2 linked regions of the Drosophila melanogaster genome follow. The gene in region 2 interacts genetically with the main gene of each other region. Each region holds a gene or a part of one and is shown on either strand. Other genes may lie near its edges.

Region 1 (7,042 bases), on a different chromosome or scaffold from region 2:
GAGCAGCTTAAGGAGCGCACCAACTCCACGCAGGGCGTGATCCGGCAACTGAGCAGCTGCCTAAGCGAGGCGGAAACGGCATCCTGTATCCTATCACCAGCCAGTAGCTTGAGTGCCAGCGAAGCACCGGACACGCCCGATCCGCACAGCAACACATCACCGCCACCGTCGCTCCACACACGTCCCAGTGTCCTGCATCGAACCCTGACCAGCACGCTGCGATGACGGGCTGATGGAACCTGGTTTGCCTTCTAATTGGGTGTGTGGAAATGGACGTCATTGGTAGCTCACGTGCCCACAAACGAATTAGTATCGGTAATATAATCCTGGCCAATCGCAAAATGAAAACCCAAAATGTATCAGAAAAAAACGAGCATTATTCAAATAGTTTAAAAATTCAGCCAAAAAACTTAAAAACGAAAAAAAAGAGCGTGGGTTGAAAAACCTTTTGTTTTCATATTCACATTTCCAAGCTTTGAGCAATCAAACAATTTTAATTTTCAGTATACACATATGTATAATGAGTTGGCTTTACAAAAGCTATTAACAAATCAAGCAATTGTGTAATTTAATATGAGACTTTCCGTGATTTTCGCTTTCTACGTACTTTTCGACTTCAATTGATCTATAGGGTTTCCGTATTAAAAACGAAATTAACGTGGTTTCATTTGATGAAAATGCAATATGAGCTCGCATTTATTTTGATATTATGACAGTAATAATGATCTGATCACGATAATCGTTTTCTCAAAACATAAGCGATACATTTTGGGTACATTTGGCCATTACTGTTTCTGTGTGTGATTTCGGTATAAAATAGTAGTTTGATTACATGTTATATTGATGAATGGCGATCGGTGGGTGCTGCTAAATGCGTTCCATTATCAATAATTTTCGTTATGTAATTACGTTTAATTTGTAAATATGTATGAGTGCGAGCGTGAGTGAGTTTGTGATCGTGTCAGCATGGGTGTGAATGAACATTAGATCAGTGCTCGGATTTGGTTTTAGTTGAAATTTAAACCCCATTTCCCCGATTTCCCAGTTATCACCTTCCGCCCCAAAACACCAGTGTAAAAAGAGTACAAAAAAAAAAAGAAAAGAAAATAGAAAAACAAACAAACAATTATATATTTATTTCGCCCTAAGTCTAGAACGTGCTAAACACAACTCATTAATAGTTAAACAAACGGATGTTGCAATCGATGGAAATTAAACGCTCGCTTTTAGTTTTGCCGTCTCGCTCGAAGAAAGAAAGAGGACTACATATGTACAGTCAAACTAATCCAAGTCAAACTCTTCAGTCTCAGAATTGGAGACTTTATTAAAGGTTTTTTATTTTATGAAGAATAGCATATTATTTTTATATATATATATTTATGTATATATATTTATATCACAAATCTCCTTCGATATCCCTTTGTAATCTATAAAAACACTTCCAGGCGCAGCTTTATTTTTCAACAGTTTTAATTTTGGGAACTTTACAAAGCATATAAGCATACCCCAAATCCATATCCTTATAAACTTTGTAGTTATTACAAATGTGTTCAAAATTAAAAAAAAAGTTTGTCATCCAAAATCCAATCCGCTAAATACAATATAATCATTTTAATTGATCTATGTTACACTTCTATAATGTCTACTGGACAAAATATGATTAAGTTGAAATTTCAAAGTGTTTTTGAAGTTCGTACTAGCGAAGTTTGGCTGTAGTTCAATACTCACAGAAAGGGAGCGAGACATATTCCCATCTCGCTCCGACCTGTTATCAAAGCCTTTGCCATTGTCCTTGGCGTTGCGTTCTTATCACCGGCGTATCGGAGGGAATATATGATTTTTTTTTCGGCCAAGTGGTTCTAGTGGTAAATATGAGGCGGTGGGTGGTTTCGGGGGGTTTGGGGGAACGGCGGTTGGTGATGGGCGCAGAGAAGGCGGGAGGCGGGGGGGAACACGTTTCGTTATTTTTTGTTTTATAGCGAAATTCCTCTAGCTATAAATGTATGCATACATATATGCTATTAACTTTTCGTTTAGCTCAATTTTTTGTTTGTATTTTTAATTATAACTCGGTTTGTCTAGTGTGTAATTAAATTAAAAGTCCAATGCTAATTCCCCAGCGAATCGTTCAGTGTTTGTTCAAACGAGTTGTGCTCTTTAAACACTTTTGGCTTATCCTTTCATTTAATTTTTGTTTGTTTTCCTTGCGTTGTTATATGTCCAAATAAAAATGAAAGTTTGAATTGTTTTTTTTTAGTAATTTAGTTTTAACTGTAATGTCAAATGTCAAGAGGTATACTCTGTATAAGAATAATAATGTGTAATGTAATTTTTAGAACTTGCTAATCTCTAGCAATTAAAACATAGCCTGTAATTAACAATAATTAATTATAATAACCAGTAACAGTTCATGCAAATGAAACCTTAATAAATAATAAATTATATAAAAGAAGATGGAAGTGTTTTCAATCAATGAAGTTACTTCCTATTTTCAGGAGTTGGAATGTTACACTTTTTTATAAGCTGATTTGAAATGCGCGCCACATTATATCTGCCTTGCGCGCACGCATTGCAGCCGAATAACGGCGAATTAACTCCCCTCAGAGGTGAGTTTGAACTATCGATTATAATCGATTGCATTCGGAAACAAAAAACACCTTGAGTTTGGTCAGATCGGTTTTGCGCGGGATAAATAATAAAATATTAAATGTTTTCTTTGTTAACATTTCGCTGTGCATGCTGTCTGGGTACACATATACAGCCTATCGCCTTGGCTCACTAAGCCCATGGCTCAGATGTCCATTTGGACTAACATTTTGTGTGAGTAATTGAATAATAAGAATTACGGAGCTCGGACTTGTAATGGCCGAAGTACTACTGCCGCAATGCTTGGTTCACGTTAAAAAGAATCAAGTGCAACAAATTTAATTGTATTTAACTATTTTATAACCGCGCAGCAAAGTAATGGTTAATTCTGCTTTTAAATAGTTGACAGTTACAAGCGAAACATAGAAGCCGCGCAGGTTCCTATCGATACCATCGCTGGGTCATCGATTATTTGTCCAGCTCTACAGGTGAAACGAGCGTTGGCGATTCCGATTCCGATTCCAATTCCGATTCCAAATTCGACTCCGGACTCGAATCCGATTTGAATCAGATTCCAATTCAGTGTGGTGAAGAGCGAACCGGAGTGCGGACGGTACGGACGCGAAATCTGTTAAGGCGGGCCGCAAAGCAAACGCTCGAAAAACGCAAAATTTGTCGATTGTCCGTTCCGCTTTTTTCTTGTGTCTGTGCTTTGCGTCGCGTGCCTGCGTGTACGTGTAAGTGTGCGTGCGCCTGTGTTTGTTTTTTGTTATTTTTTTTATAACCAACGACAACAACAGAATAGAAGTAAATAAAATACACAAATTAACGGTGTATATATTTAAATGTTTTGGTTTTTTTTAGTGGCGTGCCGAATGAGCAAAATTTGAGAAAAACGCAGTGGAAAACGTAAGAAATGCTGAAATAAAGCTTAAAGTAAAAGCAGAAATTGAGAGTTGTTTGTGTGTGTGTGTGTATGTGTGTGCAATAATAATAACAAAAAATGTTGGCCGAGGGGGGCAGACAGACACAGAGCGAGAGAGGTAGAAGCAACACCTACGCAGCTTTTTTATGTATTATTTCGTTTTTTGGCATGCCGCTGCTTTCTCTCTTTCACACGCAGCCTCATTTGAATATTTTGTTGTTGTGCGGCAAATTTCTCCACTTCCTGTTTCTCTGACGGCATTCAATTTTGGGGGATCATTTTGGCTTGTTTCATAAAATCTCTATTAATGCTGACAATAAGTTGCGAAAAATTTCCAGTCGCATTAAAAAAACTTGTCCCACATTTAACAATAAATAAGAGGTGAAGAAATACGTTTTTAAAAACTTGTTTTGTTTTTGTGTTTTATGTGCCGAGATCATAAAGCTCTCTCTCTCCCTCTCTCCCTCTCTCTCTCTCTTGCTCTTCTCTCTCGACCAGAAGGAAAAAGATCAATCAAATCAATCTGCTCTGCTCTTCTTCTGTCTTCCTCTCTTTGCAACAAAGTTGAAGGTCTTTTCTGCATGACAACGTTGCCAAGCGCAGAAAGCAACAACAAGACAGTGCAACAATAACAAAACATACACAGAACAAAATTAGAGTAGCTTAAAAGGGAACTCCTAAATTAAATTAGTCCTACAGCAGGATTACCAATTCATTACAAGTCTATTCAAAAGATACAAGGACAACATCTTTAATTTTCCAGAAGATATGATACTTGTCAATACAATTTGAATTTTGTGCCGTGTATCGTTTTGATTTCGCAAAACTGGTTTTCAGACGTTTAGTTTTATTTGTTCTTCATATTTATTTGGTTTTTTTGCTGGCTGCGATATTTTAAATATTTCAATGACGTCAGCGCAGGCTAAATTATTGATCAGCAGTATTTTTTTGCAACTGCACAAGACAGTGCAATTAATTAGCACTTGTCTGCGAATTAGATTTAAATGAATTTAATGCATTGCTTAATCACACAGTTCCAGGAATGAAAACTTAAGTAGAACGGGTATTTCAATATTATACTTTACTGCTAGATAAGTAAAATAATTGATATTGATTTATTAAGCAAAGTCTTAACAGTGGTTTTTAAATCTCAAATGTTCAATCAAATTTGCATTTGCCTAGTTCCACTGTGCAGAAATATAGAAACAAGTCGCAGAAAAATATGAAAAAATAGGAACTGAAGCTTTCGGCGCAAGCGCAAAGTGTTGGATAAGCAGAAGAGGAAGCAGAGCAGGTAGAGAGCAGGACAGCGGCACTATCTAGCTGTCTCCCTCTTGCGATCACTCTTTCAGTTATTTTTAATTCATACTCTCTTGCAGATCACAAAATAAAAAACAAACAAAAACAAAACAAGAATATGTTTTAATCAATTCAAATTAAACCAACAAATTGCAAGCAATTGGATTCAGGATAAAAATTTACAAAATTTCACCACACTAACGGGAAAACTGTGAAAACAATGCATTTAATCAAAGTAAAGACTAAACTCGCGCTAAAAATGCCCGAATTCGAAAGAAACTAGCGAAAAGCCCAATTCAAAAATCGCACAATAAATTGCAAAGTCCAAAGCAACAACAACATAGGAACAAATAAAACAAGAAGCAGGCAACAAAAGAGAGCCAGGCGGAGAGGAAAACAACAACGAAAACAGCAAAACGACGGCCCCAAAATGTTGTACCAGCTAAGTAAAGCCACTACTAGAATCCGGCTCAAAAGGCAAAAAGCCGTTCCACAACATCGCTGGCTCTGGAGTTTAGCATTTCTGGCAGCATTTACACTAAAGGTAAGCGAGAGGGCCAACAAAAACATGGCCAAAACACACAATAGCGGGTGGATTTATAGGCCCGTCGAATTACCCGTTTCGGAATCTTAGCTTGGGAGAAACGATTATTCAGGATAATAATAATAATTATTCAGGATACATCAATACAAGAGAAATATGCAAAATTAGATAGGAGTTCAAAAGATATGATAAACAACAATAACCTCGAAATGTGCACAAATAACTTTCTAAATTCGAGGGCTATCGAAACGACAAGGTTCTGCAAACATTGTCCGAAGTTATTTAATTATTTATTTGTGACGACCCCGCCCCCGCCTCGAATTAAACCGCCCACATGGAAATCATCGTCTTCGTCACTTTTGTCTGTGGTCTTTCCCATGTTAATTAAATTCAATTATTTCGCATCGTGTTTGCTTTTCGCCATTGTTTATGCGAATGTATTTGCCTCACTGGACACAGTACTAAAAACAAACAAACAAACAAAGCAACAAACAAACTCCAATCCGATCAAAGACCTTGAGGAAACAACAAACAAAAGCAAGAGTAACAAACAATAACCGAACAAGATTTTGCATTTTGCATCTCAAGTCGTGTGCTGTGCAGATATGAAGTAGAATGCATTTAACAGAAGATGATGACATATTTATACCCTGTACACTCAGAATAATTAAATATAACAAACTTAACAGATAGTTATATTTTCGTTTCAAGGAATTTGTCTAAATACTTTGCATGCCTGGCATTTTTAATTGATACTTCGAGCTGTGTTGCATAATAAGTAATTGCATTGCCGATTCCTCGATGTGTGCAACTCAGCTGAGTGATGCAATCGATAAGGCTGGCAATTTTCCTAATTAGGTTTTTCACTGTTGCACTTTTGCACGAATTCAATTTTCATAAACTTTATACTTTATGGGTAAATATCTGAATATAGGGGTTTTCATAGGGCATCGATGCGGTGCTACTAACTCACGTCGTATTGTTATGTACTATTTGCTTTTAACTGGTCACTGGTTACTAAGGGTAATTAATCATTACACATGTGGGCACGACTTGTCATGAATTCTGGATCCGCAATGAACCGGCTAGAATTCGATATCGGTTTCATTTTACATTGACAAACTTTCATTCGTTGGTTTTTTTTTATTTGTTTACTTGCTTAGCAAAATTATTGGCGCGTAACGATTACTATGTATATGTGTAAACATTTATTCTATTTCTAGTACAACTAACCAATTGTTTTTCCGGTATATCCATTTCAATTGGGTTTTTTAGGTCGTTTTGTTTATTTTTTTCACTGCACCGATAAATGGGCAGAAATATTTGCCATTTGGTCACATACAATCTCAACTTATTTCGTCGCTGGTGGCCATAAGTCACGTTTCAGTTTAATAGTGAACACGAGTACGTACATACATTCATTAATGCGAGTACACATCCATAAGATACTTTTCGCTTATATTCTTTTCCGTTTAAAATTGTACAGTGTTTAGCCGAATTCTGTTACCGATTAATGTACAATATACGTATGTATTAACTTTATAAAACATTTTAAAACAATTTATTGAAAGCCTTAAAGAGCAACTCAAAGAAAGATCAATAATCAGTGTAAACAAATAAGCCATAGGAAGAGTCCGATTAAATGGAGCGGAAAATGTGGCTTACAGAGAAAATTAAAAACAATTATC
Region 2 (7,250 bases):
GCAGCCAAAATGGGGAAGTGCTGTCAGTCCGAGTGTGGGCCTCGTTTCTCTCAGTGTGCGCGTTGTTTTTCTTGCTGTTCCCGGCTGCAATGAAAACAGTTTGTAAAGTGATTGTCAATCATTTTTGGTGGCATGTCGCTTAACCGCTTTGACAATAAACGGCAACAGCAATAGCAACACAATGGCAGCTGCTACACTTTTTGCTGGTTTTAAGCCACGTTCGTTGGCCACATTAATTGTACTTGCATTGACTAAATTAGGCTGCTGTAGTGTTTTCTACACCCAAAATTTACTTTGTAGATTTCGGCTTAATTGTTGTAATCCCTTATTTAATAAGAGCACTTGTGAATGGATGAGAAAATGCGAACTATCGGTACAATAAATCCCATCACGGCAATTAACGACAGACCAATGCATTGGTCCACTGTGCAATGATACCAATCCGCACAGCTTTCAAATAAATAAATGTGGGTATATTACTTATCACTCTGCCTGCCTTAATTCATTTGACTTTAATCATCCAATAATAAACACTAAAATGTAGATCAAACAAAGAAACCCGAAAATTGAGCCAAATATATTGACGTAATATCAAGCAAGTTTCGGTGCAGAGCAAATTGGTTAAATGCCTTTTGTGAACAAATAAGGAAAAATGAGCCAATTTAATGCGCACTGACTTGACTTCATTTTACTCGGTGTCGCTGCCTTTTGAAACAGTCCCAAATTCGAGATTAACTGGAAAGAGATTTCGTCTGGTTTCATGGCCTTAGTTTGGCCAACTCTCTTCGACTTTTATCATGAGATTTTTTCTTTTTTTGATGTGTAACACCACGAATGAAGACATTACCAACGAACAGCAGGTGGAAAAAACGAACTGTGAAAACTTGGCCCCTCGCAATGGCATCCGAAAAATTCATTTTTCGCGTTTTTATATAATGTGGATATGGCTTTTCGCTAATTTCGAATTTAATTTCGAGTTTCTATGTAGATTGTACTCATAATTAAGCCAATTACTATTGAACAACTTTCGCTGCTCTTCGTCTGCGCTATCGCATTGCATGCGATTGGGTAAATCAAATCACACAAGTATCAGGTTTACCAGGTCCCATTCCAACGATGCAAGGAAGTGGGTGCTTAGGTCTGTGGCCATTTGGTAGCTAGATAATTGGCTATCAGTGGAAGACCCATTGGTAGTATGCAACTTTGGAATTTTTTACAACACTTCTAGTCTTCTTTTCTTTTGCTTAATTTATATTTCTTAATTTTTAATTCTTAATTCCTAATGCTTTAGTATTCATATGTTGTGCATTTTATGCAAAAGACACTACTTGTAGTTTCCGTTTTCTTGCAGCGTTCTTTTCCTTTGCATACATTGAGAAATGCTCCATTCAAAAACTGTGAGCATAAACTGAAGTTGCATTGTTATTATTATTATCTTTTTATGTTCGCCTGTATTTTATTAGCATTAGCATTAGCGGCTTCTCAATGACGGTGCGATAAGCCCCAGACAAAATATATGTATGTATAAACAAAGGGAGACAATGCAACTTTGGCCGTGTTTGTGCAACACCAAAAAAAGCGCATTTCTGCATTATTCTCTGATGTTTGCACGTTAATGTATGCAACCACAAGAGCAGCCCCAATAACATAGAAACTGTGTGCACATTTGATACTTTTTGACGTCTGCGAGCAGAGAGTTGAGAGTTGAGTTGGATATGATTTGATTTGATTAGATTTGAGTTCTTCAGACACACATTTCCTTTTTAATGACGGTTGGCCAACTTGCTGCCATTGATGTGTGATGACGGTTTCTGGGCGCGTCTCGCATCCCAAGTGGAGAATTGATATTTGCATCGATGGCATTTGATGGCGGTGGATCAGTCAGTGATCGGTGGATTTATGAATTTGGGAGCAGCTCCGCAGATAAGGCCTTCGGAATGGCGGTTATTTGGGTTTGCTAATAGATATTGGAATTTCATGAATCTTTCTAGTTTTATTTAATATTTCGGGTATCGCAGTAAAAATAACTTTTATGTAGTTATATATACATATATCGTACTTTCCTCTATAGAAACCGATTTGACCTCGACTAGTTTTTGGGTTTTAATAGCGTCGGCGTACTTATCTTATCTCTAGTTTTACTTATCCCAAAGTAATTGGTTAAATATTATTAGAACACCAAACATTTAGGGATTATAGTAATTATTTCACATAATATAATATAATATAGTACTAATGCTATCCTTATACTAATCATTTTTATCACTCACGAGTGTTCAATGTACCCTACAATAGGGGTGATAAGGTATCACCTTATCACTTATCATTTCACTCTTTCGAAGTAGCATAGAATTTCTTTATTTAATCATATTTACGAAAGCTGTAAATGGGATTAATCTCTTAGTGCCGCTGTGACCCCAAGCATCCCTGACTCATGAACACTCTGGATCTACGAGTATGGAGATGCAGGGCCGCTAATACGAATCTACGCTTGTGCTCTTTCAAAAAGTCAGACAAAGAAGTCGAGGAAGAAAGAAACCGAAGGTAGGCGTAATCGGAACGATGAATGCCAACTCGGCTTGGCCTGGGTTTTTCAATGGGATTGAGTTTTTCGCCATCCAATTGGACAGTCCAAATAGATCGCGCTGAGTTCACTTGTCAAGGAATCGACTATTGCAGTTGCCTTGCCAAATTGAAAAAAAAAAACTCCGTCTTTGAGTCTTGTGTATGCATCATGGTCGTCTTGTTTCGAATCCAACGACTTCTAGAGAGGGCCTTTCGCTCACTACACCCACACTGGCAGACAGCAACAGCCTAGACACACCTGAGTGTGGGTGAGAGCGAGCATTCAACCACGGGGTAATGGTAATGGGTATTATGTATTACGTGCACGGTCTCACCTGTTGCGCTCAGCTGACGCGCGAGAAGGAGCCAGCCAGATGAGAGCCAACTAAGAGTTGGCCGGAGAGCAACAGCAAACCAGTTACATGTTGGCAGCCTGCAGATGCAGACCGTGGTGAGTTGGCAACGCTACCAGCCAAGATCCGTGCCGCCGGAGAGATCAGTTGGTGGTCGTGCTTGAGACGGAGCGGTTGGCCGAGTGCGATCGCATTACTTTGCGAACGATTTATATATACATATAAACCGCGCTGCCCACAAACGTGGCCAGATAAGAGGAGATATATACCAATACCTATACCTATTTCTCGCCGGGTTGGTGCTAATCTTCGTTTTAAGCGTGCCTGCGTGTGTGTGCGGTTGTGATTTATGCAAATCTTTGCTTTCTTATTAAACAAACACAAGATCTGGTAGTGAAATAAACGGCCCAGCAGAAGAAAAGAGAACCACGACCGAAAACATTCCATTGGAAATACCGAAAACACGTTTTCTCCCTCCAGCTCCGAATCGCTTGTTCGCTGTTTGCTTTCTGCCATTTGCCATTTCTACAAAAAAGGAGTGAGAGTGAAATGTGAAATGCGAAATGTCAGTGCAAATAGCTATCAACTTTTACAATGACATCACTAGATGTTAGCCAAAAGAAATATTAACAATTGCCAGCAGATATGGAATAAATAGAACCGCACGCTGTCTAATTGCCTTCGTACCAATATGGCCAAAAAGGCGTGCAGCAAATTCTGCGGTCTGCAGCCGTTTTCAGTTGCAGTTTCTGCTGCTGCCGTTGGAACCGGTTGAAATATTTTGCTATCGCAATTTGGGTCTAGGGTTTTTTGTTGCTGGCGTTGCATTGTAGCGAGTTGCATGAGCATCGACTGCCTTGCATATAAACAGTATATCTTTTTTTAGAGCCCAATTGGCAGCCTTTGTTTTTGGCAAGCTGGTTTATTTGCCTAGTTTCTGATTTGAATGGTGAGAAGTAAACATTGTGCTGGCGGCGTAGTCTTAAAAAAATGAAAGATATTTATGAGCTGCTCTAGGCTTAGGTACAGAAGTTGTAAATCTAAATGAAATATGCTAAATAGGGTTTACGTATCGTAAATCTACATAGGTTTTCAAAAATTCGGACACATTCAAAACTATGCGAAACTTTATAAAACAAAAGACTTGGGAAACGAACTTGCGTGAGTGGCATCGAAGATGTTTACGCTTTCACACTTAAATTGGTCATTACATAAATGTGTGACATAGGAAATGCTTTAGATATGCGGCGTATTTGGAAAAATTAGCTAATACTTTTATTTCGTAGCTTAATTAACTCACATATTATTTTTGATTGATTGAGTCAAGAGTAAGCCACCCCTATTTTCAAGCTAACAACTTTCCAATTTCCGCGTAGGGCGACCTAACAAATCACTCAACAAATCGGCTGGCAAAATATAGACTTGAGTTGACACTTGAGAGATCGTTATTCAACCGACTTTCAACGGAAATGACAGCATTTGGGGTTACCAAAGCGAGTCAATGACAAATAACAGAAACCGCTGCCACAGATGTCGTGTGAACTAAAATAACCGCATAAGAAAATCCCGCACCCCAAAAGAGAAAACTAAATAATAACTAGTGAACAAAAGTAGGTAATGAGTTATCGAGACCCTTCGAAACGTTTAAAAGTGCATGTAATTTATTTAATTCCATATTTATAGCAGATTACTATAAATTAACAATAACAAGTGCAAACGTGTGAGAAAAATCAAAGAGGAAAAGCCAAAAAGACGGAGCACAAACATAAACCAAAATGCAAACGTGTAGAAGAAGAAAAGCCTCCGGCGGCCAATCCACGATCAAGTGGAGTAGAATGTGCCTGGCCACTCTCTGCGGATTACTTTTGCTTGGCATTCAAATTGAGCGTGCGGCGTCTGCGCCCGCAGGCGAAGACGCAGCGGCCACAACGATGCCACCTTTGGATACCACAACAGATGCCCCAGACGCCGTTGCAGCCACCACCACTCCAGCCACAACTGCCGCAGAACAAAGCAGCAGCATCAGCAGCATAACCACCGAGGCGGCGGATGGTTCAACGACTTCCACGACGACAACAACTGAGGCGGCCAACAAATCCAATGCGACCGAAACTGGTGAGTCCAAGCCGAAAGCCATGAAAATTATAGATAGACGGCATCTACGCGACGACGCTCGCATAGCTGGGGCATCTCATCCCGATCTCCGGCCAGACACTTTAATCCCGCCTAGCCGCGCTGTGCTCTCTGCGCCGTAATCAAATCTCGTTCTCTGAGCCACCAATTAACGCCGTGCCGGTGCGTGACTTCTGGTCCGCCCTTTTTTTTACCCATTTCGTTTCGATTTGTACGGCATTTCTCCATAATTATTTTCCGATTCGGTTAAATGGAGCGAACAAGAGAAATTGTTTGACTATTAATGGATGGAAGAATATTTGAAGATATACATAAGCGGTTTCCTGTTGAATTACTTAGTTAATTACGCGGCATATTAAAGGGAAAATATTAAAATTTCCGGCCCTCAAGCTCAATCTCGGAAACCAATTATACGAGAAATTATTATTCGTGCTAGAACAAGTGAATGAACTTAATTAAATCTTAATATATTCTACTCGTACTACACCCAAGATACTCAAGATAAATTGAATTATACTTCTATTTCGATACAATTGATACTTAATATAAAATAAAAAATAATAAATCAGATTAGATTTTTTTTTTTTTTTTTGTAATTCTGTTGAATGAACACATTCACATTTAGGTTATTAGGATAACTGGAGAAATTCGTTTAACCAGATCACCTGAGATGGAATGATTAACTTTCACACACGTACCTTTTGCAAAATAGATTAATCGGGCAATTCCATTGCCGAGTTCTTGGCTGTAACAGATTTATAATTATCTAGAAGGTTGTTTGGGCTTAATGTCAGTTGCACACCAAACTCTTCACGAGGCAAGCACTCCGTCGTAAAAACTTCAATTGGTTTTTCATTGTTTTGATACTATTCCATCTAGATTCATTGATGACTCGATAAAACGAGGTCTAGCAGGCCACACACAGGTCTAGATCGATTGAGCATAGGTTGTTGCCATGGCAAGTGGGAATGCATTGTTTAAAAGGGACTGGCCTTTTTTAGCCGGTCTAAATGCCACGGGAAGTTAATGAGATTTAACAGCAAACATTGGGATGGTGGTAAGGTAAGCCTTCACAAATTACTCAATTTAAATGCAAAGCAGCCAACTGTCATGACTCATGCCCTTAACCTACGTAGTCCGTACCATAATCTTGGAGTTAACTTTGTTAAATTTTGGGTGTTAACTTTGTACAGAAACACGGAATGTCTTTTCGCGGGGGCTAATTATATAAGTATGTGCCCAGGAAATTAGCTAAGAGAGATAAATAGCAATTAGTCATTGACAGATGTGATAAATGAAACACCTACAAACTTGGAGAAGAAACCGCACCTGATTACATTTTAAAATGGGTATTTCAAGTGATGCAAACTCTTATTTTGCCAGGCGTTGAGTGGGTAGCTAGTGGATTGAGGATTTGGATTTTATAATTAAAACAAGCACATATGTATTAGCAAATCAATTATTGGGCAAGACTTTAGACAGTTGATAAACTGGTTTCGTGTTATAATTACAGTTACCGAAGCAATAAATATAGAAATAAAGCTAGACTAGATTTTAACGAAATCATGAAAGTAAGTGCACAATATTCATTTTCATTTTTAATACAAATTTCGTGTTTTGTAATGCATGTCTTTTTGGGGATATTATGCTATTATCGACCCGTTTTTGGATTAACCACAATCCAAATAAAACATTTTGCAAATTTGCAGCAAATTGTTTTCAATCTGAGGAAAAAATCAGCAAAGTAATACTAATGAGTTGGAAAATTGTATACCACAACTGGCTGCAGTTGTACTTGAAAGTCGAGTACATAAATCATTTATGTTAATTTTCAGTTTTGCGGTCTGTTTTGGGTGCTAAATTATGGCCTTGATAGAGCGCGGGCAGAAATTTAAAAATGCAGAAAAAAAATCCTATTGAGCAATTTTCAATGCGTTGGCATTGCAAGTCAGGGACTGCACTCGAAATGGCTTGCCAAAAATAAATAAATATATTTATAGGTTTGCACGAGGTCTCTTAAAAAATAATACGTATCACGAAATTTACAAAATTCAATAACGACTTCAATCAACAGGCCAACTTGTCTGCGGCTCACTTTCTTCAAGGGAAAATGTACGGCGGGCAAAAAATAACAATAAATAAAATTGAAAAGTGCTGAGTGACCTGCTGTTTTATGGACTTGTTGATTGTTTGTTATTA

The links.
Region 1: of sas (region 2) and Ptp10D, changing one enhances a phenotype caused by changing the other (phenotypic enhancement), as found in Drosophila melanogaster (one study listed by BioGRID).

What each region holds. Positions count from the first base shown.
Region 1 is NC_004354.4:11,618,863-11,625,904, forward strand, and holds the start of Ptp10D (protein tyrosine phosphatase 10D), read left to right. Parts: upstream 1-3,152; 5' UTR 3,153-3,323; exon of another isoform or gene 3,324-3,495; intron 3,496-4,890; exon of another isoform or gene 4,891-4,967; 5' UTR 4,968-5,240; coding exon 5,241-5,354; intron 5,355-7,042. Other genes in the region: Met (Methoprene-tolerant), read left to right, coding at 1-225.
Region 2 is NT_033777.3:7,159,828-7,167,077, forward strand, and holds the start of sas (stranded at second), read left to right. Parts: upstream 1-2,980; 5' UTR 2,981-3,213; intron 3,214-4,294; 5' UTR 4,295-4,532; intron 4,533-4,601; 5' UTR 4,602-4,693; coding exon 4,694-5,033; intron 5,034-7,250.